Linked DNA regions of Xenopus tropicalis. The protein of the gene in region 1 purifies or fractionates together with the protein of each later gene. This does not show direct contact. Links are inferred from orthologs where the notes say so. Each region holds a gene or a part of one and is shown in the gene's direction. Other genes may lie near its edges. The genes, in order: tuba1a, dnajb11, hax1, dnajb6, txndc9, bag2 and dnaja1.

What was found.
Region 2: the proteins of tuba1a (region 1) and dnajb11 purify together in Homo sapiens (affinity purification with mass spectrometry; 3 studies listed by BioGRID and IntAct, counting the BioPlex papers as one, with this or other methods). This does not show direct contact. The link is inferred for Xenopus tropicalis from reciprocal best matches to the Homo sapiens genes TUBA1A and DNAJB11.
Region 3: the proteins of tuba1a (region 1) and hax1 purify together in Homo sapiens (affinity purification with mass spectrometry; 3 studies listed by BioGRID and IntAct, with this or other methods). This does not show direct contact. The link is inferred for Xenopus tropicalis from reciprocal best matches to the Homo sapiens genes TUBA1A and HAX1.
Region 4: the proteins of tuba1a (region 1) and dnajb6 purify together in Homo sapiens (pull-down; 3 studies listed by BioGRID and IntAct, with this or other methods). This does not show direct contact. The link is inferred for Xenopus tropicalis from reciprocal best matches to the Homo sapiens genes TUBA1A and DNAJB6.
Region 5: the proteins of tuba1a (region 1) and txndc9 purify together in Homo sapiens (affinity purification with mass spectrometry; 3 studies listed by BioGRID and IntAct, counting the BioPlex papers as one, with this or other methods). This does not show direct contact. The link is inferred for Xenopus tropicalis from reciprocal best matches to the Homo sapiens genes TUBA1A and TXNDC9.
Region 6: the proteins of tuba1a (region 1) and bag2 purify together in Homo sapiens (affinity purification with mass spectrometry; 4 studies listed by BioGRID and IntAct, with this or other methods). This does not show direct contact. The link is inferred for Xenopus tropicalis from reciprocal best matches to the Homo sapiens genes TUBA1A and BAG2.
Region 7: the proteins of tuba1a (region 1) and dnaja1 purify together in Homo sapiens (affinity purification with mass spectrometry; 3 studies listed by BioGRID and IntAct, with this or other methods). This does not show direct contact. The link is inferred for Xenopus tropicalis from reciprocal best matches to the Homo sapiens genes TUBA1A and DNAJA1.

Annotation. Positions count from the first base shown.
Region 1 is NC_030678.2:136,579,030-136,583,144, reverse strand, and holds the start of tuba1a (tubulin alpha-1A chain), read left to right. Parts: upstream 1-1,315; 5' UTR 1,316-1,434; coding exon 1,435-1,437; intron 1,438-3,257; coding exon 3,258-3,480; intron 3,481-4,115. UniProt on the Homo sapiens protein: Tubulin is the major constituent of microtubules, a cylinder consisting of laterally associated linear protofilaments composed of alpha- and beta-tubulin heterodimers.
Region 2 is NC_030685.2:43,617,859-43,621,358, reverse strand, and holds part of dnajb11 (dnaJ homolog subfamily B member 11), read left to right. Parts: intron 1-1,389; coding exon 1,390-1,549; intron 1,550-3,500. UniProt on the Homo sapiens protein: As a co-chaperone for HSPA5 it is required for proper folding, trafficking or degradation of proteins.
Region 3 is NC_030684.2:143,242,656-143,246,785, reverse strand, and holds the start of hax1 (HCLS1-associated protein X-1), read left to right. Parts: upstream 1-1,330; 5' UTR 1,331-1,424; coding exon 1,425-1,474; intron 1,475-2,207; exon of another isoform or gene 2,208-2,279; coding exon of another isoform or gene 2,280-2,317; intron 2,318-2,444; coding exon 2,445-2,671; intron 2,672-4,130. UniProt on the Homo sapiens protein: Recruits the Arp2/3 complex to the cell cortex and regulates reorganization of the cortical actin cytoskeleton via its interaction with KCNC3 and the Arp2/3 complex. Slows down the rate of inactivation of KCNC3 channels. Promotes GNA13-mediated cell migration.
Region 4 is NC_030682.2:17,674,951-17,679,247, forward strand, and holds the start of dnajb6 (dnaJ homolog subfamily B member 6), read left to right. Parts: upstream 1-1,497; 5' UTR 1,498-1,510; coding exon 1,511-1,575; intron 1,576-1,995; coding exon 1,996-2,105; intron 2,106-3,287; coding exon 3,288-3,344; intron 3,345-3,706; coding exon 3,707-3,817; intron 3,818-3,942; coding exon 3,943-4,074; intron 4,075-4,297. UniProt on the Homo sapiens protein: Has a stimulatory effect on the ATPase activity of HSP70 in a dose-dependent and time-dependent manner and hence acts as a co-chaperone of HSP70. Plays an indispensable role in the organization of KRT8/KRT18 filaments.
Region 5 is NC_030678.2:112,718,293-112,721,792, forward strand, and holds part of txndc9 (thioredoxin domain-containing protein 9), read left to right. Parts: intron 1-310; 5' UTR 311-327; coding exon 328-516; intron 517-3,500. UniProt on the Homo sapiens protein: Significantly diminishes the chaperonin TCP1 complex ATPase activity, thus negatively impacts protein folding, including that of actin or tubulin.
Region 6 is NC_030681.2:95,344,876-95,349,037, forward strand, and holds the start of bag2 (BAG family molecular chaperone regulator 2), read left to right. Parts: upstream 1-1,362; 5' UTR 1,363-1,478; coding exon 1,479-1,606; intron 1,607-4,162. UniProt on the Homo sapiens protein: Co-chaperone for HSP70 and HSC70 chaperone proteins. Acts as a nucleotide-exchange factor (NEF) promoting the release of ADP from the HSP70 and HSC70 proteins thereby triggering client/substrate protein release.
Region 7 is NC_030677.2:94,448,240-94,451,739, reverse strand, and holds part of dnaja1 (dnaJ homolog subfamily A member 1), read left to right. Parts: intron 1-372; 5' UTR 373-408; coding exon 409-540; intron 541-1,011; coding exon 1,012-1,192; intron 1,193-2,000; coding exon 2,001-2,105; intron 2,106-2,466; coding exon 2,467-2,694; intron 2,695-3,500.

The DNA of each region.
Region 1 (4,115 bases):
TACCTGCTCAAAACCCAACCCGATTCCCAGGACTCTGCCCTTTGGCATGACATCTCACCCCTTTGGCAGAGGAGTTCAGTCCTACCCTGATGGCAGCCCTGAATATGTCACATTCATAACACATACAGCTAAGATTTTGATGTACTTAATCCCACTGAGAATTTAGGGCAGGATTAACAAAGGGACAAAAATAGCATCATTTATAAGAATGGTAATTATTTGCTCTTATGGTAAATGCTAAGCAAGAAGTGTATTTTTTTGGTTCTTGAAGAAACCTTGGGGGTATGATGGGGGTGGTTTCTGCCATGTTGCCTTCCTCGCTTCTTGCTTACTAAAAAGAAAGCACCCATTGCAGGTTATGTGAATGGAGAGGAAATACCAGTAAAGGATTATTTCCACAAGGTTTTCTCCTGAAATCACTTTAGGCAATTATTATTTGAAAATATATTGTAATGCCTTTTTCCTGCAAATATGGGGAAAGAAGCCAAAAGCCCCAAGCCAATCACTGCCCTAAGGATATATTTCAGGCATTGACATTATAACCAGTGCCAGCACTTTCATCTCTTGACTCTGCCACTGTCTCTGTCACCTTCCCTATCTGGCAGGGGTGCAACTTATTGTAACATATGTGTGTTGCTTAATATTACCATTCAGAACTGGGGGTCTCCTTCTATTTATATACTTGTAAGGTATATTTATATACCTGGGCATTGCTTTTGCCCAGATATGGTATAATTAAACCCAGTAGTTGGAAACAAAAATCTATCTAAATATATACAGTCAGCTGAGTCCATGGGAGGGATTCCTGTGTGGGTACCAAATGCAGTGGCACAATGCAAACAGGTGCTCAGCTTTCCTACCCCAGGCTAATAGCATTCTGATAGGTTAATAGCCTTCTGAGGGTGCAGGCCCAGCCCCAGGGTAGGTCAGTTAGATTGTAAGCTCAGCTGCAGCACAGACTGATGTGACTTAACATTCTCTGTAATGGGATGCCATATTCATATACATGAAGGCAGTTAAGGCTTACATACTAGGTGCCCTTACTTCTGCTATGCTTGTGCCTTGGGAGTATAAAGCCAAGGGGACCCAGGGAATACCGGCGGCCGGTACATTCCGGGATGAGTTGATGGATTCTCTTTGTCTCCCAGATTCCGTGCAGCCCCTTGATAGCTGGGTAGGGCTGATTACCTCATCCCATGCAGCAGCAGCCAATCACATTCCTCAGCTGCCGGAGCTAGAAGGGAGTCGAAAGCGTCGGGTCCAATAAGGAAATGCCTGTCTGGGTCTCCATGACAACGGGGATGTATATAAGGGGCTGCGTTGGACCATGTGTTGCAGGTTCTCTTACATCGACCCCCTTAGAGTCGCGCTGTAAGAAAGCACCCTTCTTCTCCTTCCTCTTTCTCTCCTCTCTGCAGCCCCAAAGCAGCAAACATGGTAAGAGCAGGAGTGGGGGGCTGGATACGGGCTGGGGGGCTGGATAAGGGCTGGGGGGCAGGCACAGGGGGACTCGGGTGTGTGCTTGGGATGGATAATGGCCTGTCATTAGATGCTCCTGGAACAATAGCCTTTGTTCTATACAGAGACATTATATGTTCTTATTGCCACACCGGGCTCCTGTGCTTATAGTTTTATCAGAATGAACCCAAGGAAAATGCATATATTCTGTGCTGTGTATATGATATCGACTTTTGATTCCTTTATGTACTGTGCCATTTAGAGTAATGACTGACAATCTGCTTGCAGTGAACTACAATTGCACAAGTGATAGGGAAAGGGTTAATAGGGTGATGGCCAGTGGGAGTCAGATGCCTAACAATGGCTTTATTCTGCGCTCCCTGTATGCTGCCTTGTGAGATGGAGGCTCGCTTTCCCTATGAGCCCTTATTGTTTGGCCATTCCTTTATCTGTGCAATAATTGCCATGGGTATTGGAACTTGTGATGGGGATGGAATGGGTTAGTGCTTGCCATGTAGTCAGCAAGAGATTCACTGGATTAATAATAAGTAACATAGACTGAATAACAAAGGGATAGGATTTATTCAGCCCCAACCATCCCATTATTATTCCCTTTTGGACAATGAAAGGGGTTAAAATCCCAATGAGATAGCTGGGCTGTGTAAGTGCCTATTGGAAGGGTCGCAATACCACGCCCTGAGCACGCAGACTGCAAGGATCTCTCTGCTCATGTAAAAGCACATTCATTCCAGCATAGCTGCACTCACATTTTCCTGGCAAAAGCAAATCATAAAGCTAGAGACAGTCGGCAGCGAGGCATTGTTTTACAGTCGCACAGACGTGGCTGTGCCCATTTTTAAAGGAAAAGTATATTATGTTGTTGGCATGTTGTAGTACTCTCTTACAACAGATATGTTCCATATCGAGTATATTTCTTAAAACTATACTGTATTCATTCAATATTTGCATTTGCTCAGTGTTTCCAAAAGTAATTGCTAATTGAAAGCAGCTTTTGTTGGTCCCTGCTGGTTCTGTTTGTTGAAGCAAGGTAGCGTTAGCCATCCTTGCCTGCTTTTTCACAGGTCTGTTATTCAGTTGCTTGGGTTGCCGTGTTTTAAAAATCAGAATCACCATTGTAAAGAGAAAGAGACAGACAGACACTGCTCTCAATTGCAGTTACATTTACAAAGAACTTCAAAACCACCAGAAATGTGTTATTAAGGTATATTGGAAGGTTGCAGTGTTGTTGTTATGCTGTTTAATTAGAGGAAAATTTATGCTATGGTTTATATCCACTTTAAACTACAACTCCCAGCACCCTGTGACAAATGAGGGCAGGGGAACTGGCAATGAAATAATAAAATCACCATGTCTAATGTACAAGACGAGGAGGAAGGGGAGAGAAATGTCTAATAATGCAAATGGGTGGCAACACCCACAGCGCCTCCTGCTAACCTTGCTGCAGTATGACAGAATGAGATGGAATTATTCATTATTGATAAAAAAAAAAGCTGCAGAATGGTTTAAAGGTTAATTCCTTCATTTTGAGGCGTACATCACTGACATGGCTTTCCCAAGGGGCTGTCTGATTCTTTGTGCTGCAGCGAGCGGTGGGTGTGGCACTGCTAGGGGATCCGACATGCGCTGTTTTATAAGCAGTTATTATCAGGATAAAGCACTGACTTTGTGCTTTAGTGATTGAAGTAAGCAATATAATTTAGCATTAGTCATAACTGCAATACACTATGGAAGAGAAGTCAAGTCTCACGCATTAAAAATTAAATTGTCTTTTCTTACAGCGTGAGTGCATCTCTATACACGTTGGCCAGGCTGGTGTGCAGATCGGCAATGCCTGCTGGGAACTGTATTGTCTGGAACATGGCATCCAACCTGATGGGCAGATGCCCAGTGACAAGACCATTGGAGGAGGGGACGACTCCTTCAACACCTTTTTCAGTGAAACTGGAGCAGGAAAGCATGTCCCCAGGGCTGTCTTTGTAGACTTGGAACCCACTGTCATTGGTGAGAAAACAACACAAAGCTATGGGTCTTTGTCTTGATCACTGAATGGAGGAAACAGGAGTTTAAATTAACCCTTTTATACTACTATTCAATCAATGAGTGTATATTACAGAATATAGTGAACATGTCTTTCTGAAATGTGAATTATAATTACCTAGGTTAAATGATATTCCTTTCTGTGTATTTGGGATTTGATTTATTACTAAGCAGCTTATGATTTATTGAGGAGTTATTTGTAACCCTGAAGTTCATTTACCAACACTGGGCAAATTTGCACCTGGGTAAAAACTCACAGCAACCAATTAGTGATTAGCATTGTTCAACCAGATACAGGTAGAACAATAAAATCAAATATCTGTCTAGTTGCTTTGGGTTACCACCAAGGACCAAATTTGCCCATTGCCCATAAATTGGCCTATTTTATGCAAACATATGCAATGGTTTTTGGCCTATGGGCTGTTACCCAGAACTGGGCCCCTTGCTGTTGAAAGGGAATAAATAATAAATCCTTGAAATAGAAATAAAAAGGAAGTGTGGAGTGAATCTGGGTCCTGTCCACAAAAAGGTTAAGAAATACCATCTAATGGCTAGTTAATTTGCATTTAACAAGAAAGTAATCTCATGATAAGAAACAA
Region 2 (3,500 bases), on another chromosome or scaffold:
ACCAAATGAGGATTGCCATGTATTTACTGTTTAGATTACCATAACATTTTTCTTTACTCTTTGCATAATACTTCATATTTCTAAAATTGCTAATCTGCTCTTTGTCTTTGGTGTTTGATATTTATGACTCTTGTCATTGCGTGATTATAGTTGAACTGGGGAGACTGCAACATGTACATAGTAACGTATATATTGAAAGTGGCTATAAAAATGAAACGGTATCACATGATAACATTAAATGTAATTATTTGGGAATCATAGAATTTCATTACTAGAGGAATTCTAATTCAACCAAGTTTTAAATGTGGATGCACTCTGATACACAGCTTTTTCCTCTTCTCTGATGCAAGTAAAGATTATGCTCATAATCATGAAGTAGGAGGAAGCGGCTACCCCATGCTAATTTATTCTTAGAGCGTTCTGTGTTAACATATGCATATCTCCTTACACAATCTTCTTAGATATAAGTTAGCTTTGTTGCACCTAAATAGAAACCACTTATAGCAAAGCACCGATAGCTCCCACCTACCCCAAATGCAATCCGTTTTACTTACACAAGTTAAGGGAACACACGCATATCTCACTCTTCTCTCCTCTGTTAGGCCCCTTTGCTTCATCAGAGGCATTAGCCATTATACATTTGAACACTATTTTTTTTAAAAATGGTAATAAATTATGCAAATAAATTATGCTAATTATAAATGGACATATATAACACCTACAATTAAATTTTTTGTATAAACTTGTAATACATATAACTGGTGTCAAACTTTAAAAAATAGAATTCGAAACAGCTAACTTTATCAAATTTTGTTGGTTTGAATATTCATAACATATTTGATATTGGCTTGCTTGAGAGAGCACTTGTTATATTTTCATTCATATAATAAAGTGTTTCTGATATATTTATATTTATTTTATGTATATTTTAAATTGTCATTTTTAATTTTTAAATATATAAGTGGAATTGTGCAAAATACTAAGTTGAATTTCACAAAATTTCAGGTATCTTCCTTAGTAAAGTCCCAGGAAACGCTACTAAGTTTAAGCTAAGTTTAAAGGCACAAAATTAGTTGCCATTAATTGCAAATGTCCATAAATTAGCTGGCAATGAAAAGGTTAAATAAAAATAAATTATGAAATCAAGTGTAACACTTTTTCAGTACAAAAAGACTTTGACACTTTGTACTTTTTTACCTCAAGAATGACCATCTATTTCCTAGTGTAATATCAGTCTTATGCCAGCAATAATATAATGGAAATATAAACCAGAAAATTATTGCACTAGCACACTAAGAAGGTTTAGTGCAACACAGAAGTTATTCCTATCTTTGTTATAGGAAAAAACTATATTTTAAAAAAAAATTAAGCCTTTTATTTTATTTACAGGTTCACATATTGCGGGATAAAATTACTAAGCCAGGAGCAAAATTGTGGAAAAAAGGGGAAGGTTTGCCAAACTTTGACAATAACAACATAAAAGGTTCTTTAATTATAACATTTGATGTTGAATTCCCAAAAGAACAGCTAACGATGGAGCAACGACAAGGTATTTTTTTTTTCTTTATTTTCTGCCTTTGCTAGTGATTTTTGAATAAACAAATGTGGGATTTATCATAAATGCACATTACAGTCTGTTTTGTATTTTCTTTTTATTTACACTGGAAAATTTAGACTCTAGTAATGAATTTCATATTAATTTATTCTTACAGTATACTAAACATATTTTAGCCTATAATGCTAAAATGATATAAGTATGTATAAGAATTTCCAAAAATGTGTGTGCTTTTGTAGGAGTAATAATTTTACTAGGAGTTCTTGCATAGCTTCCAAAAGATTACGGAATTGCATAGTTTTAAATGGCTATTAGGAATTTTATTTGGGCAGATTGCCCTTGACTAATATTCAAGCTACTGTTTACAGAGCTCGACTATTCAGCTAGTAACTGACTATTGATCATTTAGCTTCAGAACAGAAACAAAACAATGCAGAGGATAGAGCCATTTACCATTTTGAAGCCTTTGTCTAGAGGCCACCTCTTTCAAATTGCAGTCACTCTTTCAAAAATGACCACATTATATTTTGTCTTTTTTTTTTGTTTTTAATTTCACCGAATTTGTCTACTTGATAGCCCAAGTTAGACTGGGGGATATTGGGGACAATATTAATAAATAACTAATACATTTTTAATATATCTTTTTAAATTGCCTGTTTTTAATTTTTTTTTTTTGAGTGGCCCTTCAGATGTTAGTATTCCTTGACCTTTGGAGTCAAGACGGAAGAATCAAAGAGGAGTCCTCCTTCTGTATAAGGTTGTACTCTGCCTACTGAGTTCAGTTTTCTCTTTTGTCCTGTCTAGAAGGTAGAGGACAGATACTACCTTTCATAGAAAATGTAATTTTAGATCTTGGGAGGTTATGCTGATTGTCTGAACAATTTATTTCCCTCCTTATTTGAAACAATCTAGCAAGCAGAACTCACATGAGGCTGTAACATGTTTAATATTAGTTAGGTTACTGAGAATCAGAGGGTGCAGCCCTACTGCAATGAATCACCCAACTGGTTTCAGTAATGCAGCTCACTTAGGCGTTCACATTTTAATGGACTAATAAAGATGCTGTTTTAATTTGGAAGGTTTGGAGTGCTTGGAAGCCTTTTTTCGTTTATTGCAGTAATGCAGCTCTAACTAGTAAATTGGATGTGAGGCAGATTTTGTTATGCTTTTTATTAGGCAACCAATCCGAATGTTAAGGCCATGCTTCTTTGGGGCAGATCCAGATATACCTTTCTGCCTAACACACACTCCCCATAACTACTGGACTCTTTGCAGTGTCACTTTAAGCAAAGCCACTTTAAATCCTCACTGCACAATTTCAAATATTTCATTGCATTTTTTTATTGTAAATACTTGTACCTTTATTGCACACTTTTATTATATTTAATATTTGTATTTTTTTATTTTTTTTTGTCTATGTAAAGTTGGGAGGAACACGGGTCAAAATAATTTCATTATAGTAATGATGCTTCATTGTTATTTGTATATGACAATAAAACTGGAAACTTTCATTGTACAAGCAGAGTGCAACTTTTTGCACAGCTTGTTATCCTGCAGGGATATAACTGAGCAGTACATTGTACATGACAAGTAATGCCGGAATTTCCAGGGCTACGGTACCACACAATGCTATTCAGTAAGTGGTAGCATTTCCTGTAACTTCTAGTGACGTCAATTCAAGCCGATGGCTGGTGGCACTTTCAACGCAGCACTCTTCATAGCGCACATGACATCATGCAAGATGTGCCTGAAACAGCTTCCTAAACCCTAAGAAGGCCCTTACAGGAAAACCATCACTGAGAAGACTGGACAGCTAGGCCACTGAAATGTACTGTTTGCAGATGTGTCCTGTTTATTTTAATGAGAAGGAAAGGCTAATAAAGAGTTAATCTCAAGCTGCAGGCATACCTTCAGTTGTCTCAATAGTGCCCTTAAGTCTCCCTAT
Region 3 (4,130 bases), on another chromosome or scaffold:
TCCCCTTGGTTGGGAATGAGATGTTGGGCAAGCAGGTGTAGGGGATAATTGTGCCCATATACTGTATATGTGAGCGGTACTTTCCTTATCTGTAGCTACAATCACATAATACCTTCCAAAACCCTGACTGGCTTTTGGAAATGGAGAGGTTGATTTATATAGTGGCTGTAGCTACACGGGGACAGAAGGGTTAATCTATCCTGGCTCCCTAAATGAATTGCCTATTAACAAGCTATTAATAAATGGCTGCTGGGTGCTTGGTTTGCCAGTCCTGCCTCCATCTTGCCCCAGGAGGGGCCCCAGCTGCCAGCCACTCCCACTATTGGGCACCAGTGTTGTACCCTGTGTGTGTGCTAGGGAAATGATGGACCGGACTGGGCCGCCGGGACACTGGGAAGAATCTGAGCCTTGCTGGTGCTCCCCCTGCCCGACTGTTCCTCCCCTGATGCATTAAATGTACACACTCAGGGGGGGCCCTGCTAGGGGGGTTAGGGGGGGCCCTGCTAGGGGGGTTGGTAGTAGTAGAAGTGTTAGTAGGAAGGGCAGCCACTGGGGACCATTAGGGGCCAAACACAAGTTAAACACTTAGGGCCCCAGTTCTGTATTACATTTTGGTTTTCAGAGGCCCAGCAAAGACTGAGCCCCCTACTTACCCCCTCTAACCCACCCCCCAATGGCTGCCCCGGCAATAGGAAAATAGGCACAGTTCTCCGAGGTCCTTGCCGTGGAACGTTCTCTGCTGCTCAAGTACTCCTCCTTGGCGGTAGGTGGATCTTGGCTACAAAAGGAGATAAACTGCCATTAGGAAGTGTGTTGCTGCCACTGTAACCCCTGCCCCTGTAACCCCTGCCCTGCCCCTGTAACCCCTGCCCCTGTAACCATTGCCCTGCCCCTGTAACCCCTGCCCTGCTCCTGTAACCCCTGCCCCTGTAACCCCTGCCTGGGAAGTGCCCTGCAGTAATGCCTTAATTACCCCTAATTATCCTTAATTAATTATCCTTAGCCCCCTCCCCTGATCCCTGTCACTTCTATTAAACACACACAGGGGGCAGTTAGTGCCCAGGGCTCATATATGATGAAATCCAACGGCCTTAGCCTGGTAGTTTAGTCTTATCTCTCCAATAGAAATGGAAGGAATCTTGTACAGTTCATCAGTATAAGCGGAGCATTTAATTTCCATGTTACTTTCCCTTTAATAGGAATCGCTCACTAGTTACACAAGCCCCGCCTCTATACTGAGCGTCATCAGCGGAGAGCAGCGGCAGTGGCTGAGGAATGGGGGGGCGTGTCCCACAGGAGCCAGAGCGGAGGGCGGAAGAGCTTCTAGTTCTAAGCCTGGATCCGGACGGAAGTGGGGCGGTAGCGGTGCCGGAAGTGGGGCAGGGTGAGAAAGTTCCAGCTGCTGGATGAGGTGACAGGGGGACATGAGCCTGTTTGAGCTGTTCAGGAGGTTCTTTGAGCCGGGAGGGATCAGGTAATGGCGCCCCTAGAGCAAGGACTGGGGTTCCGTGTGTATGTGCGGGTATATTCCCGTATATATATATAGCTCTGCCCCCAGGGCTGCTACATAGGGATACCATGGGGGGGGCGGGCTGGCCGCAGGGGCTGCTGGGAATGTTCAGCAGTAGTTGGGCTTTTGGTTGATAGTTGCAGTTGAACAGCAGTGATATCTGTTGGGTTTGGCTGAGAGTGGGATGCTGGGAATTCTGGGAGATGCACCCCAATATCTGGGGGTCCCTAATGGCCAATCACTTCACTTATTCCTCTTATACAGAAATGTCACAGTAAATGCAGACTTATATATATATATTTACTTGTATTATTGGCATTCTGGGTCCGGTGCGACTCCCCCCACCCTGCGGCCATATATGGCTTGAGTGACAGCCCCCTGTTCAGCCAGCACCTCCCCCCTGCTGAGAAGCCCCGCCCCTACTTCCCAAGGCCAGGGAGTAGCCACACCCCCCAGCTCCCCTACTCCCAGGGGGCAATGTGCTCAATGTCAAGACAAATTGGGGGTCCTGAGTTCACCCTCAGTTTCAGCCATGTATGGGGGTACAGTAACGGGGGGGTACAGTAACGGGGGGGGTACAGTAACGGGGGGTACAGTAACAGGGGGGTACAGTAAGGGGGGTACAGTAAGGGGGGTACAGTAACGGGGGTACAGTAACAGGGGGGTACAGAAACAGGGGGGTACAGGGTTCCTCCCTCCCCAACTGCCCCATCTCAGCTCATTCCAACTCTCTAGTTTGGCTGCTGATTGATCATAGCACTAGTGTAGCATGAGAGAAATACCAACAACATGCATACAAATTAAAGGGTAAGTTAACAGCTGTGCAGAAAAATACCTAGATTTATATGGGGAGAAGGGGCTAGAGCTGTGCCTATAAGGTTCCAACTGAATGGCTCCCCTCTCTGCCCCCTTCTAATGCCCCATGTTGTTCCAGAGACCCGTTCTTCGGCGGGATGACCTACGATGAAGACGACGACGATGATGATGATGAGGAAGATGCAGACATTGGTCATCCCTTTGGTCGGCCTCCTGGTTTCAACTTTGGATTCTCGTTTGGACCCGGACGTGACCCGATGGCCGACGTCTTCGGTTTCGAAGAATTCTTCAGGGATTTCAACGAGCTTTTTGCAGATTTCGGATCAATGACTCGAGTGGTTCCTGGTAATTTTGGGTCAGAACCTCTGTGCGGGGCAGGTGTAACTGCCATAGGGGGGCACAACATTCCTTAGGGAGGGGGCAACAAGGGTAACCATCTTGGGGGGGAACCTCAGTATGTGGGATCTACTGGATCAACAGAATATTAATATCTGGGGTACAAATGGGTGCAACTGGGGTACAGCTGAGATCTGGGAGTAGGATTGGAGGCATCAGAAGTCATTGGCACAACCGTGTTCTTATTTCCCCTTTATTATATTCCTATAGATCTGCTCACAGCTGGGTAACTAGGAGTAACATGTTCTTATTTCCCCTTTATTATATTCCTATAGATCTGCTCACAGCTGGATAACTAGGAGTAACATGTTCTTATTTCCCCTTTATTATATTCCTATAGATCTGCTCACAGCTGGGTAACTAGGAGTAACATTCTTATTTCCCCTTTATTATATTCCTATAGATCTGCTCACAGCTGGGTAACTAGGAGTAACGTTCTTATTTCCCCTTTATTATATTCCTATAGATCTGCTCACAGCTGGGTAACTAGGAGTAACGTTCTTATTTCCCCTTTATTATATTCCTATAGATCTGCTCACAGCTGGGTAACTAGGAGTAACGTTCTTATTTCCCCTTTATTATATTCCTATAGATCTGCTCACAGCTGGGTAACTAGGAGTAACGTTCTTATTTCCCCTTTATTATATTCCTATAGATCTGCTCACAGCTGGGTAACTAGGAGTAACATGTTCTTATTTCCCCTTTATTATATTCCTATAGATCTGCTCACAGCTGGGTAACTAGGAGTAACGTTCTTATCTCCCCTTTATTATATTCCTATAGATCTGCTCACAGCTGGGTAACTAGGAGTAACATGTTCTTATTTCCCCTTTATTATATTCCTATAGATCTGCTCACAGCTGGGTAACTAGGAGTAACATGTTCTTATTTCCCCTTTATTATATTCCTATAGATCTGCTCACAGCTGGATAACTAGGAGTAACGTTCTTATTTCCCCTTTATTATATTCCTATAGATCTGCTCACAGCTGGGTAACTAGGAGTAACATGTTCTTATTTCCCCTTTATTATATTCCTATAGATCTGCTCACAGCTGGGTAACTAGGAGTAACATGTTCTTATTTCCCCTTTATTATATTCCTATTGATCTGCTTACAGCTGGGTAACTAGGAGTAACGTTCTTATTTCCCCTTTATTATATTCCTATAGATCTGCTCACAGCTGGGTAACTAGGAGTAACGTTCTTATTTCCCCTTTATTATATTCCTATAGATCTGCTCACAGCTGGGTAACTAGGAGTAAGGTTCTTATTTCCCCTTTATTATATTCCTATAGATCTGCTCACAGCTGGGTAACTAGGAGTAACATGTTCTTATTTCCCCTTTATTATGTTCCTATAGATCTGCTCACAGCTGGATAACTAGGAGTAACATGTTCTTATTTCCCCT
Region 4 (4,297 bases), on another chromosome or scaffold:
GATCAGCAGGGGAACAGGAGGCGGGGCTTAGGGAACTGTTAAAAACATTATTACATAACAAATCATGAAAACACTGCATATTTTTAATTGATCTATATTGCAAAGTTGCTTGAAATTATATTGTGCTTGGGTGGAGTTCCCCTTTAAATTTTTCAGAAATGGGTTAGGACAAGAATAGATAGTTATATCTCATCAGCAGCTGGAGGGCTTGCTTTTACCATCACTGCTAAGAGAGCCATTGTTTCTACTTTTCTACAGCTGCTTTGCTTTACATACAGTTATGACATCTACTGTCCGAACACCTTATAAAAAAACAGGATTTTTAAATTTTTAATATATTCAATTTTTGTTTCCAAATTTCCATTCTGTAAATTGTCATGACAATTGACAGCGTAATCAAGTTTGCTTACTAGTTCTATGTCTTGGGCTGTCCAGAACAATTAATGGGCAATTAGCCTAAATCTCACCATAATTATGTCTCAGGCTGCCCCTCTGCCCACTGCTCCTCCATTGTGCTCCCTGCGATTTAGCACCTGGTGTAATATTCCAGTGCTTTGACTGAGAGGCTCTCCTAGGGAGCCAAATTAAAAGGGTAAACAAGATAACTAGTAACAGTTAACAGATTTTCAGGTTAACATTTGTAAGCTTTGGACACTTAAGGTGGCCATACACGGGCCGATTCTAGCTGCCAATATCTTTTTAAAATTTTTACCCCTGATGAAGACCCTTGATGGGTTGAAATGCGTTTGACTATACTTGCTATGATGTGTTTTTCGTATTGAATAAATTTCATTTTTTACTTATTGGTTTTGAGTGTGGAGATACTTTTTGCTTTCTTTAATATTGGCCCTTTAGACCAGTTCGGCAGCTTATCTGCCCATGTGTGGACACAAACGATGGGCCTGCCCCAACGATATCTGCCCTGAAATCGGGCAGATCTCGCTTGGGCAGGTTTGATTTTTCCGTTGGATCAGGGACAGCATCAGCTCGTTGATGCTGTCCCCAATCCGATGGCGCCTATACCTGCCGTTCTAATTTGATCGATTGGCCCCAGGGCCAAACGACCAAATTGGCCCAATATTGCCCACCCATAGGTGGGGATATCGGGAGAAGATATGCTTGCTTGGCGAGTTTTAGAAAGTATTAGCCAAAGTATTTTATCTGGTGGAGAAACGTCATGCCATTTAGATGAATGGAAACTACCTGTCACTGCTGGGGACAAACCGTTTCCATTCATCTACATAACAGGTGGCACAGAGATGTATCTGGCCATTTTTGACTGGCATATTTCAGCGATACATGTGCCACTGGCCTTAGGCTTGGGTTCAACAGAATAATAAAAAATGGAAATGTTGTGATACTCTTGCATTAATAGTACCTTTATCTTTGCAATGTGTTCCTGACTCTCTAATTGATTTACCTACCTCTTATCATATTCCGCTTGCATTTGAATTTGTCATCTCAATGCCATTATGAATTCTTTCCAGGCTTTACATCACATTACTGAGCCATGGTGGAGTATTACGATGTCCTGGGAGTCCAGAGGAACGCCTCTCCAGAAGATATTAAGAAAGCGTAAGTATTCCCTGGTTTGACGCTGAGGATATCCACTCTTATGGGGGGATTATTAAAACCATAGCACCTGGATACTTTATACTTTGTTTTTTTTGTATATAAAATTTTTTTTGGCAAGGATATTTTAGCCAGGAGTGCCCTCCATTTCTCTAAATTGACGCTGAGGATATGACTGGGCCATTGTGTGACAGCTCCATACACAGGCTGATGGGGGTTTCCACTCAGGAGGGATTGATGATGATGACGATGATGAGGAGGCACATAAAAGGCATGAGAGAACATGGCTGGGAAAGGATTAATTAGAGGAAAGATATGGAACACCCTGTGTGGCGGAACCTTATTTGCAGTTTGAAAGTTGCATTTAATGTTGCATTTCAATACCAATTACTAAACCCTATTCTCAATCAACTTGTATTCCAGATACCGCAAGCTAGCCTTAAAGTGGCACCCAGACAAGAACCCCGACAATAAAGATGAAGCCGAGAGGAGGTTCAAAGAAGTTGCTGAAGCTTATGAGGTCCTGTCAGATTGTAAGTATCTTCCCAAGACTCTTCCAACTTCCTTGGCTTGTAATTGTTTCCTTACTAGGCGCCCGATTTGCCCAAGGAGTTTGTTTTCATATATGGCATGATCGTTATTCAGCTGACACGAGTGATAGATCCTATCAATATTTATAATTAGGCTTGGCTTAAGCATACTAATCACTGACTGAGCTAATGAATTTAAAGGAGACATATTGTGTAAAAAACAAGAATGTGGTAGTGCATTATGCTCCTCTAAATACAGAAGGAATGTACTTTAAAAAGTTGTGTTTCAGGTGGATTTATTGAAAATTTCTCCAAAAACCCCACTAGTCCCGCCCATCTGTTCCACTCCCTGCTGCCTCCTTTCCCAGGCTGTGCAGGGGGGCCGGCGGCACTCGGCACACTGCATTGTAGGATAGGAACCAGAATTAAACCCTGCCTTTGCTTGTGTGACTGCAGGGCTGTGGTTGGCTGTGCTTCCTCCAGGGACGATTAGGACACACCCACCTTTTATTTGAAACACCGGCAGGGACCTGAGAGGATCTATAAGGAGCTCCAATAAAGGGGCCACAGATAGAATTAAGCACCATATATTATTCATAATTGCCTAAAAGATTGAGGGGGGATTTCACTTATCCTACATTTCTTCTTTAAAAAAAATGGTCATTATGCCCTTTCTGCTGAAAAGGGGTTTACGGTAAAAGTAGATTATTGAAGGATCCTTTGTTAATTTGTTTTCTATATTGTTGTGGGTATTACACTCATAATAAGGTGCTGGCCACTGGTATAAAACTTAGATAACAAACGTCATGTTAGTAGCTAAGCCGTCATACTGCTTGGAGAAAGTGTCAGAGCGGCTTTTGCAGCCTATTTAAAGGAGAAGTACACCACTTCCTGCTTTGTCTTAGTCCAGTAAGCAGGTTAGACTGATCTGTTGTTTTGTTTGGTTGAGGCTGGTGGGACGCGGCGAGGCACTTTTGAGCCTGGCCCTCGTGTGTTGGAATGCATTGCTTATTTATAGCCGTGTCTGTCCCCAGCTGCTGGGGAGACACACAAATACATCACAACAATGTTCTGCCTCAGAGAGAGACTGTGTGAAATTGTATCCTGAAATGATTTGCTAACTCCACTTAGACTAAACGGCTTGTATTTTATTTATTTATATTTGTTTGTTTCTTTCCCTTATAGCTAAAAAGAGGGATATTTATGATAAATATGGAAAAGAAGGATTGACAGGTGGTGGAGGTAAGTGCTAGTTTCATTTTAAACTTTTAACGCTATATTTATACCTCATTTATGCTTCCATGCAACTTAGATCCATTTCAGGGCCGTCTAGTTGGCTAGAGACCCTAATGTGCTCTATTTAATTGCCACTTGAGACCCAGCTACAGTGTGCAGCCTTTTCTTGCAGTCCAAGCCTAATTACACAGTGCGAAGAGTTCTATCAGATTGCCACAGAAATTCCTTGAGACCACAATATTCCATGCTTCTATATCCCTGTACTATGTGCAACCTTAATTGTATTTGATTACCTTTTATATTAAGAACAACTAATGCCGTTTTTCTATCTTTCAAGCTAATTAGGTTCTTTCTTATTTTTATTTTAGGCGGCAGTCACTTTGATAATCCATATGAGTTTGGATTTACATTCCGAAGCCCAGACGATGTTTTCAGGGATTTCTTTGGGGGAAGAGACCCATTTTCATTTGATTTATTTGGTATAGTGCACATATTTGTATTTTCTTTAATCTTAGATGTTTCTGCCGGGTTAAGGATTGTAATGTTACAGGTATTATTATATTACTGGTGTCAGGGAGTAATTTATATCCTGTTTCTCTTCCAGCTGACGATCCATTTGATGACTTCTTTGGCAGAAGAGGCCACAGAGCAAACAGAAGCAGGCCAGGGGGTTCCTTTCTCTCTACGTTTGGAGGTTTCCCTGCCTTTGGTCCTACCTTCTCTCCATTTGACTCGGGTACAGAGATGCAATACTCCTTTATCTGCACACTCAAGTTTTTGTCCAATGAAGGGATAAATGAATGCACAGACATCTGCAAATGTTTTATGTGTGTCTTGATTTAACATTCCTGCTACTGATGCCATTTTTTTAAGGTTCCAAGAACGAAAAATTACCCATTACCGTTATTTATCTTTAAAATTTGCATCATGGCTACCATAGCCCTAAAAGGCAGAGCTTT
Region 5 (3,500 bases), about 24 Mb from region 1:
GACGTCACCTAGGCCTCATCTTTATTCGCACCCATTTTTAAACTTTGCTGCCAATACTTTACAGTATTTATAATTCTCAAACAGGGTACTATTGTTCCTGTTACCTTTTTGAGGTAACTATCATGCTCTCTGTTTTTGTAATTATAATTTAAAACCATTTTAAATGCTTGAACTGTAATTGTGAAGGTTGCCTTCCCTAGTACAGAGTATATGCTATAATGTATTTATATGTGTCACAGCACGGAACAGCAGCAGCCAGATATATTGTATATGTGTCCACTCAACCATACCTTTTTTTCCTTATTGGCAGTTCAGACCTATACTAAAATGGCAGCTGACACATCTGTAGATATATTTGCAAAAGTCATGGAGAATCAGCTTCTTCAGACTGCCAAAATAATGGAGGAGCAGTTAGATGCTGAACTGGAGAAACTTGACAAAATAGATGAAGATGAAATGGATCGTCTGAAAGAAAGAAGACTTGAAGCTCTGAAGAAGGCACAGCAGCAAAAACAAGTAAGTCTCTATAATACAACTAATTCTAAATAATACTATATAATACAACTCCACTGTTTATTTTATTGGACCTTGTGGTAAGTACTGGCAGAGCAAGTATGTCAGGACACTAAATGTCCTTTATAAAAAAAGTATTTTCTTGCAGACAGCAGCAGTATGCAGAATTTAAATGCAGTTTTTTTCTTCACCATACAGTTTGAAAGGAAAAGCAGCTTTCATTAGCAGTATAGCACAAAAATACAGCAGATTCAGAAACCTCTTGTCAGGGTTAAAACTTGGCTGGTTCACCAACAGCAAGAGTCAATGTAAACAGACATTTATCCCCAGAATTCTCTCTATCCAGCCATAACAGGTCTCAAATTAGGGGCTGTGGAGGAATGTATATCCTTATATGCTGACGATGTCTTATTGTATTTTGACTCCCCTGGTGCCTCACTACAGTCAGTTTTACGCATACTGAAACATTTTGGGTACTTCTCCGGTTTGAAAATCAATTGGGAAAGCCAAGCTTAGAGCACCAATTACAGAAGGCGGCCTAGGCCTTCCACACTGGCAATTTTACTTCCTAGCTGCACAGGTTTACTATGTACAATGGTGGTTCTCTCCTGATCTTACCAACCCCAATGTCATTAAAATATATCCCATTTCGTTAATAATCAGATATCCAAACCAATCACCCAGTCATCCTGACACCCTACAAAGCATGGCAAACGACACTAAACTTATACAAACTGAAATCTCCAATCCTATCCCCGGGCCTGCCATTGTGGGGAAACTCCTACTTACCCAATTTCCAACAAATTACCCCATACCGAGTGTGGCCTCACTGGGGCATACGTACACTGGGAGATGTGACCAATGCTGGTGCCCTGTTACCTAGAAACCAGATTAGACATACAGACACAGGAGAGCTGTTACCCTGGCTCTCATACTTACAACTCCAACAGGCCTTCCGACACCAATTCCAAAGAACCATAGTTCCCTTTGTGCTCACTAAGCTTGAAACTACCCTCTGAAACCCCTCCTCCAAAAAGCTGATCACCACACTATACTCCCTGCTCCTCTCCACCCTCCAATCTCCCTTTCTCACAGCTCAAAAAGCCTGCTGCCAAGACATACCAGAGCTGGACAGTGAAGATTGGGAGGAAGCGACAGACAGGGCCTATGACTATCTGATCTCTACAAGAGACAGGTTAATCCAGTTCAAAATCATACACAGGCTCCATCTGACCCTGTTACGACTATATCGTATGGGAATCCGCAACTCGTCTCAGTGCCCTAAATGTGCACCAGAGGCCAACTACTTTCACTTAATGTGGTCTTGCCCACAAATACATCACTTTTGGAACCAGGTCCTAAACCATATCCAAAACACAACATCCCTACCTAAAATACTCAATCCCAAGGCATTGTGGATGACATTACTCCCAAATCAGCATTGCGCATCCTCTATAGAACATTACTGTTTTATGCCAGGAAAACTATCCTCTTTCAATGGATGGCACACTCTCCCCCAACAATTGCCAGCTGGCTCAATCTACTTAAAGCCCTTCTGCCACTGATACAACTCAACTACATAGCAAGAGGATGTCCTCAAAAGTATGACAAGGTATGGGGAACATGGGTTGAAGCCATGGAATAATGCCACATGGTCCTCCCTGGGAATTTGAACCTCCACTGGTAATCCCAAATCCTCCCCTTCTTCAACAGGAATCTGAACACTCGAGTAGAACATTATTGATTATCTAAACCAATGTACTGCTTATATCCTGGCATGAAAAGAACACGCTTGTAGAACCAATGTCAATGTTTTATGTTGTTTTATGTTACAAATGAATAAATAAACACCTTTGGGAAAAAAAAAACTTGTCTGGTTAGTTTGATATGGAAAGAGAGAGCATAGATCACACAGGCAGTCATTCCAAGACAAACTGACTGACAAGGTTTAAAATCTAGGGCCCGGCTGGTCATCTTATAGCCCTTCACTCTGCTACAGACCTGTGTACTTAGGAGTATAAAGCCCAATTATATGTACTTGTCTTCCTAAGGTTTAGTTTTGCAGCTTGTTTCAGTGACAGTTATCCAACTGGGGGCACTCCACTTAATGTTTCTTCAAATGTGAATTGGTGGTTAAGACTGTTTCCCTTCTTATTAGGTTGGACACTCGGTTGTATTATTCAGCTGCTGGGACCATGTTGTTTACTGCATTTTCCTATTTGTTTCCTGGAACACAGTGTGTCCTGCATGAAGATTGAAAATGAACAATTTGGGCTAGGCAGGAAACACAAACTTGCAGTTTCTTGGTATACAGTTATTAGGAGACATTTTAAAGCCAGTGATCCCCAACCAAAGTGGCTCAGGAGCAACATGTTGCGCCCAGTGGCCTTAAAGGGGACCTGTCACCCTAAGGCATAGAGGCGGGGCAAGCAGTATATTATTGACAGCTGTGATTTTTAAATGCCTTTTATTCCGTTTGGAATTACTTAATCAAAGCAAGCATTTGGCAGTTCGTTTTAATTGTTATAAGGCACTTTTATTATAATCTTGTTTATGTCTGGTGACAGTCCAGGTCTTGCAAGGCTAGACATATTGGAGGGAAATGGGAAAAAAATGTAATGACTTGTAGTGCTGATATGGAAGCTAAAGTATCCGGTCTGTTGCACTTATGCCTAACTTAGAGGCTCAAGCATATCTGTAAACATGTGCCCTTATGCTTATGGTTGGATGTGTATAAATCTATCATTGGTCTGTGATTTGAAAAGAAGAGTTTTAGCGGGTGACGGTCTCTTAACAGGTGGTTATTTTAATCCTGGTCAGAAGCACAGTAGATTTGGCATAGCACTTGGTCACATGCCCTCTGTTCTCACAAGCAAAGACAGCTTCAGTTCCTATGGTTAGCCTAGCTGCTGATTGGTTCTAATCCTACAGTGCAGGGTACGGGGCCGTCGGCTCCCCAGCTCATCCAGAGAATTCAGCCAGCAGGA
Region 6 (4,162 bases), on another chromosome or scaffold:
TGATAATCTTCCCATGTACCATTACCCTTAATAAGAAAAAAATACCAGTGAAGCTTGCAATGGCCGGAGTTGCAGCTGATTTTCAGTGCGGTGGGGTGGCCCTAAATTCCCCATTAGGGATGTAGCGAACCTCAAAAAAAAAGTTTGCGAACCTGTTCGCGAACTTTGCGAACCCCATAGACTTCAATGGGAAGGCGAACTTTAAAACCTAGAAAAGCCATTTCTGGCCAGAAAACTGATTTTAAAGTTGTTTAAAGGGTGCCACGACCTGGACAGTGGCATGCAGGAGGGGGATCAAGGGCAAAAACTTCTCTGAAAAATTGACACACGCCGTTTTTCGAAATGATCGGTAATTTTGCGACTTTTTCGTAATTTCCGGCGCTTTCGTAAAGTTATCGTAAGTTTTGCGACTTTTTCGGAGCATTCGTAACGTTATCGTAAGTTTTGCGACTTTTTCGGAGCATTCGTAACGTTATCGTAAGTTTTGCGACTTTTTCGGAGCATTCGTAACGTTATCGTAAGTTTTGCGACTTTTTCGGAGCAGTCGTAACGTTATCGTAAGTTTTGCGACTTTTTCGGAGCATTCGTAACGTTATTGTAAGTTTTGCGATTTTTTCGGTGCCAGCGAACCCAAATTGTGAACATCACGAAAAGTTCGCGAATTTGCGGACTTGCGAACACCCGATGTTCGCGCGAATTAGTTCGCCGGCGAACAGTTCGCTACATCTCTATTCCCCATGCACATGCGTGTTTGCGACTCACATAACCCCCCTCCCATATGAGGTTTCGTACAATATCATCATTCTGGCTACTAAAAGACAATGCTGACCATTTACTGATAACCGTCTCTACGTGTGTTTTAGCAGAGGCAATTTTCAGTATTGTCTATGGCAGGGTATTTTCTGGAGATTAGTAGCTGAGAAAAAATATCTGCTACTAGTAGCCCAGTGTGTCTTCACCCTTAATATAAGCAGGCTCTGTCCCTTGGTTGGGGAGGACCCATACAGTAGGCTATAAATGAAATGAATGGTTTGAGTGTACAGTGTAAATATGAGCAGAACAGGCAGTGTATCTGCAGTAGAGTGAGTGAATGAACAGTTGAATGAGAGTAGGTACATTATATTATATATATGATCAGCAGCAGAGAATGAGTGATTGAACATCTGGAGGGGTGTAAGCACAGTTTATAAACAACAGGGAAAGCAGGTTAGGGAAGTTCGAGACCCCCAAAGCCCCATAAAATCAGTCCCTTAGGCAGCTGAGCTGCAGCTGGGGGCAGGGAAGTGAAGCAGCTGACAGTTAGTGCAGGGCCGGGAGCCGCCCAAGCCCATGTTAGGCAATGTTACACTATCCTGCTGTTCTATCCCGGTGAGAGTGCAGGAGGAGGAGGGAGAGATGTCTAGAAAGATCTAAGCATTTCACTGTCCTCTGTTGCTCAGTTGTGCTTTTTCTGTGGAAGGGAGAGTCCGCAAGCTATTATGGCTCAGGCTAAAATCCAGGCAAAGGCAGCCACCGAAGGGCACAATGCAGGCAAGTTCTGCCGCTCTGTCTCTATGGCAGCTCGATCCAACCACCTGTTAGAGATTTTGGACGATCTGGAAGTCAGGTAAGGAAGCGAGCAGAATGATGTCTATAATATGTACCCTGTGTATGCCCTTACTGTGCGCTCTGCCTGCTGCCCTGCCCTGTGGTGCCTGACTACACGTGTTCCCTATGGATACATACAGTATAACATCTCCCAGTCCTGCCCAATATATATGCACTACTGAGGGAAAGCCTGACTGAAAAGCATAAGCAAAAGTCAACTTGTTACAAAGTCATATGGCAGCAAAACTATATTCTGCGCTCCAGGGTCGATATATCTTTACAGTACTTTTGGCCTAGCCTTTGTTTTGTTCCTATTTTGTAGGAAAATAGTTTTCTACAGTCTGTGGAATGCCATATATTTGTGTAATATATATATATATATATATATATATATATATATATATATATATATATATATATATATATATATATATATATATATATAACCCAACTGAACAGTGGCTTTGGTGGCTCTGGATACTGTAGGAAACTTACCAGAAAGTAGGCATATTTTTTTGTTTCCCAGCACAAGTTGGAGCTCTGAGCTGAGAAAAAAAGATTATGCATTCTTTTGGTCAAATATTGGCCAGGGACAAATCACCAGGAATAAAGTGTGTATTGTTTCCTGGCGCAAGTAGGAGCTCTTAGAATAGAAAAAAAAGATTGATTGCACTTTTGGTGAAATATTGTGGACAGAAGGCAGGAGGCTGTGGTGGCAGTAGGTATAGCTGGCAACTCATCAGGAATAAAAGTGAATTATCCCTTACCTGACACAATAAATAGCTATGGTGAGTTAAGAAAATTACTTTTAATATTGGAAGCAGAGGCTTTGTGGAGGCAGGTATTGTTGGCAAATCAGCAGGATATACATTTTTTCCCATTTCAAGTTGCTGTGAGCAGAGGACAATAAACTACTGATGGACACTCACAGTCTGCAGTGCCCTGCACAGACAGTCATGTGTTGCCAGCAGCCCTGGTTATACACTACATTTTTGCTAGGTACCCAACTGGGCCAGGTGGTTAAATGTTGAGTGGCTGCAGTTATATAGTTTGTAAAAGTAATGTCACAGGTTAATCTCACTGATTCTACAGATTGAAAGGGAAGCTATGTTATTTGTAAGAACCATTTACCAAGGCAACCCCTCCATTACCTCATTCAGTGATGGATTCTGGGACTGAATTTCCAGATGCAAACATGTTGGTAGGTACACCCCTAGTCACTGCACTACATAGAGGGGTCCAGTTGGCACTGCGTCCCCCGTTCCCCGCTGCTCGCTAATAAGTAGGTCACAATCATGGGGTTTGCTTCTTCTATAGTTACACCACTGCTTTTTGGAAAACATCCCTCTAATAACAAATACCAAAGTTATAGATAGTTTGGGTCTTTAGTTGATCTATAGTTATAGGGAGCAAGGTGCATTTTAGTATAATTTAAGTGGGTAGTGTACCTCAAAAAAAATACCCTTATATTTGAATGTAAGTTTCAGTGTTTAAGCCAGTAGACTGGCTAGACAGTAGACTATCAGTTGGAACTAAAGGGAGGCACTACTTGCCTCAGCTCTGGGTTGTAGTTAACCCCAATACACTGGGCTTATGAGACTGTTTGAGAAGAAGTAAATAGTAGAACAAATTACTAGCATATTGAACTGCTACTTATAATTAGGCTGCAGCTTATGAAGGATTTAAAAAAAAAAACCTCTATCTCCATTTAAAATAATTACCCTATTTACAAGAGGAAGAAAACATAATTTTCCATTAGTACTTTATAGTAGGAAAGAATTAGGAAAATATGGATTTTTTAAATTAAAACAATACACAATGTATTTTCAACCCAAGTGATATTTATTATTGAGCAAACATGCATGCAGTTTTTTTACATGATGAGGTTGCACTTCTGTATTTCTGTGCCACTTCTGATGCAACTTTAAACAGATGACCACAGGCTATGGCACACAGTGTAATGACACATGCAGGCTATTTCCACATCTGAAACACCCATAGCTGTTCTCATTAATTAAAAAGTCCCCACAAGTCACAGAAGGCACCTGTATATTATTACCCTGAGCTCTAATCCTCAGCACTATCTTGCAGAATGTAGCACCAACCTAAGGCTAATTTGGTACACGTTTTTGCACAGTAATTGGCAGTAAATGTGTAATGTGGAACTTAATTTTCATGTCAGTGGGAATCAATCCACATCACATAGCTGCCATGGCTGAATAGGATGTGTACTGTTTGTGTACAAACTCTGTATGATTAGACCTTCCCCACGTTTGTGCTGATTGTTCTCACACAAATAAGGGAGAGGGTCTTTCAGAGGAGTGATCCATGAACATTTTTTCCATTTTGTAATTGAAACAATAAGCAGGAGCAAAACTTTAAACTGTAAAGACCAACTAAAACTTAGATTGTAATGAAAATAGAGCTAAAACATAACTATTTCCCTCATGTTTGCCTTTAATTGTTTGGCAGCAACCTTCCTTATCTCCATTCCTAGCATAATTCTATGCAATAATCCTCTAACATGAAACCAGTAAAGGGTGAGATGTAGCAGGCCAGAGGGAAGCACTAACGA
Region 7 (3,500 bases), on another chromosome or scaffold:
TTGAGGTTAGGAGCAGGTTATTATACAGGGGTCTTACAGTGGACTGGTAATTTGTTTTACCACCAGTCATTGTTTGCAAAAGAGAAGTGGGGAAACTGCTGATTTAATGGAGTCAATAACATGAAACCACTTTTACATTAGTACATCTTGCGTCACCCCTGCTATTTTCTTCCACCTTGCCTTGAATTCAGTTCATTGCATTTAGTTATAAAATATATGATTGTATTGAACTAGTGTGGGATGTTGCCCTTCAGGGCACTGGAGGTGGAAGGAAGATGAAGAAGATGATGGTAACTGTGTGTAGTATAATACACATGTTTACATGTATTAAATATTTAGTCTTTAAATAACAATCTTTTCCTCATAACTTAGGTTTAAGGAAATCTGCCACTACCAGCCACACTGAAAATGGTGGTAGAAACTGCATACTATGATATATTGGGAGTTAAGCCAAATTCCACTCCGGATGAGCTGAAAAAGGCTTATAGGAAACTTGCCCTCAAGTATCACCCAGACAAGAATCCCAATGAAGGTGAAAAGGTATGTTTATAATATAGTGCAGCAGTTTTATAGAAAGTGCTTAATATACTAACATATTTCTTCAGTATGGTGATACAGATCCTGCACATGCAGGAATTAAATTAAGGTGTAAGTTAATCTTATATCACTTGGTTCTGGGTAATCAAATTTCAAATATGTTCCCAGTGGTTTGAGTCATTTGTTGACTGATGTCAACAAACTGAATATCACACTTTTTGTTGAATGGGAAAAAGTTTTAAAAGACATGATACTTTTTTCTCTAGCTCGAGCAGACAATATTTGATAAGGCCATGTTTGGCCCATGTGGCCCTAATCTTAGAGGGACACTTAATATCTATTAAGTATGATACACCATCTTTAACTATAGCTTCTTTTGCTTATCAGTTATACCCATGAAGAGCCCTTGGAAAGTCCCAAGTAGCATACAAATGCTGCATTTGAGTCGTGATTTAAAATGTATTTTCTCTACAGTTCAAACAGATTTCCCAGGCTTATGAAGTGCTCTCTGATTCCAAGAAAAGAGACTTGTATGATAAAGGCGGTGAACAGGCAATTAAAGAGGGAGGCATGGGAGGTGGCGGTTTTGCATCACCAATGGATATCTTTGACATGTTTTTTGGTGGCGGTGGAAGAATGCAACGAGAGAGAAGAGGTAATAGTAATACCCCTTGCCTCTAACAGTTTCACACATTTAGGTCCATTTTCCCTGTTCTGTCTGTTTTGTTAGAAATTTAAATATACCGTATATACTCGAGTATAAGCCGATCCGAATATAAGCCGAGGTACCTAATTTTACCTAAGAAAACTGGAAAAACGCATTGACTCAAGTATAAGCCTAGGGTGGGAAATGCAGCAGCTACTGCTAAGTTTTAATAATCAAAATAAATACCAATAAAATTACATTAATTGAGGCATCAGTGGGGTATATGTATTTCAATATTTATTTCAAAGAAAAACAGTAAACTAGCTCTGTAAGCGGAGAAGAGGGTCAACAAAAACAATATGAGTACTACCCCACGCTCATTGCACATTGGCAAACTGGCAGCAGACCCAGTCCCGGAGGTGATGTAAGGGGAAATAAGTATTGCTAGTGGGAGCCTAGGCCAGGGCACTGGAGGGTCTGGTTGTGGGAGGCCTAATTTGCACATAAAGGAGAGAGGGTGCTAGTCTGGAGGGGCCCATGGCACCCGACTCGAGTATAAACCGAGGGTGACTTTTTCAGCACATTTTGGGTGCTGAAACACTAGGCTTATACTCGAGTATATACAGTATGCCCCTTTTTTATTAATGCTCTGTTATATTGCATTGCAGCCAAGACTCTTCTGTCTGAGCAAAGTCCGGTAGACATGATAACCTAAAGTGGCTGTCCATTTGCACAAGGCCTAGTCCAAAATACTTTGTTAAAATTGTTCTTAAATATCAGTAATGAATGTTAACTTAAGCTAAATATTTGTTTGCAGGTAAAAACGTAGTTCATCAGTTATCTGTATCCCTTGAAGATTTGTATAATGGTGCCACAAGAAAACTTGCTGTGCAGAAGAATACTATCTGTGATAAGTGTGAAGGTTTGTAATTCAATTTATTTAAATGTTACATTTATTTTCAATTTAAGTTTAAGTTTGATCATTTGATATTAATTGTTAATGCACTGGATCAGGCTGACTCTTAAGTTTTCAGCCAAAACAATACATTCTTTAAATCTCTAAAATGTCATTATTCAGATTGGTTTGGATGCGGTATTTAGTCCAGTTTTTTGTAGAGGATTTGACTGAATCCAAATTTTATTGATTTGGTACACTAATTTGACCAGTTGTTTATACTAATACATCAGCGTAAAACGTGCACTTTGATGTAACGTTCTGATAAATAAGGACCAGCAAATATATGCGTCTGTTAATAATTCACCTTTTTATTTTTTTATTTTAGGTCGTGGAGGTAAAAAAGGGGCTGTAGAATGCTGTCCAAATTGTAGGGGCACTGGCATGCAGATTAGAATCCACCAGTTAGGACCTGGAATGGTTCAGCAGATACAGTCAGTATGCCCAGAGTGTCAAGGACAAGGAGAGAGGATCAATCCAAAGGACCGGTGTAAGAGCTGCAATGGGCGAAAGATAGTCCGAGAGAAGAAGATTCTTGAAGTTCATATTGACAAGGGTATGTGTCTCTCATAATGAAATGCTATTGATTAGCCATCATAAAGGTCAACCTAGGCACAATAACTGCACTGTTTGCTATGTGTTTTCCTACTGTAAGGTAATTTGTGTATTAAGCAGTTTACATTTTCAAATAATACTTTCTTAAAAAAAAAAAAAAAAAATAGGGTAATATCATGGGTCTTGGCAGCTTTTAATAGTGGATGTAGATAAGACCCTGTGACATCACATGATAAATATGAGATGCTTCACTGAGTGTCTGTTTGAGAGAACACTCTAATGGGACTTTAGTCAAATATACAGTGTCCGCTACACTGTCATGTTTGTTTGGTTTAGGGCTCTTGCACATGGGTGGTTTAACATGCATTCCATTCATTTTTTATTGTACCCACTACACTGCATTAAAATGCCAGATGCAAATGAAATGCTGCTTGTTGCGTCGCAACTGTGTTTAATGGATTAGTGTGGTGCAGTAGAAACAGGCAACGTAGAAATTAATGGGCTGTGTTAACTAATTTATTGCCATGCTATGGAAAGCAAAAAAAAAATTTTTTAAATTGGTGCGGTTTTATTTCAAAGACTTTAAGGTAGGTCATAAATATTTATCTCTGTGTCTTAAATATGTATCTCTAAGGTCTCACTGAATAATATAGGCCAGATTGTTGCAAAATATAGCATGGTTAATGGCAAAAGAAATAAATGGCAGATGAGAATTTTCATTTTGGTGTACTTTTTAAGATATTGGCCTATTCAGCTATTTTTAAGCACATTTGTATAATGCATGTTCATTTCATTTTCTGTTTTTCT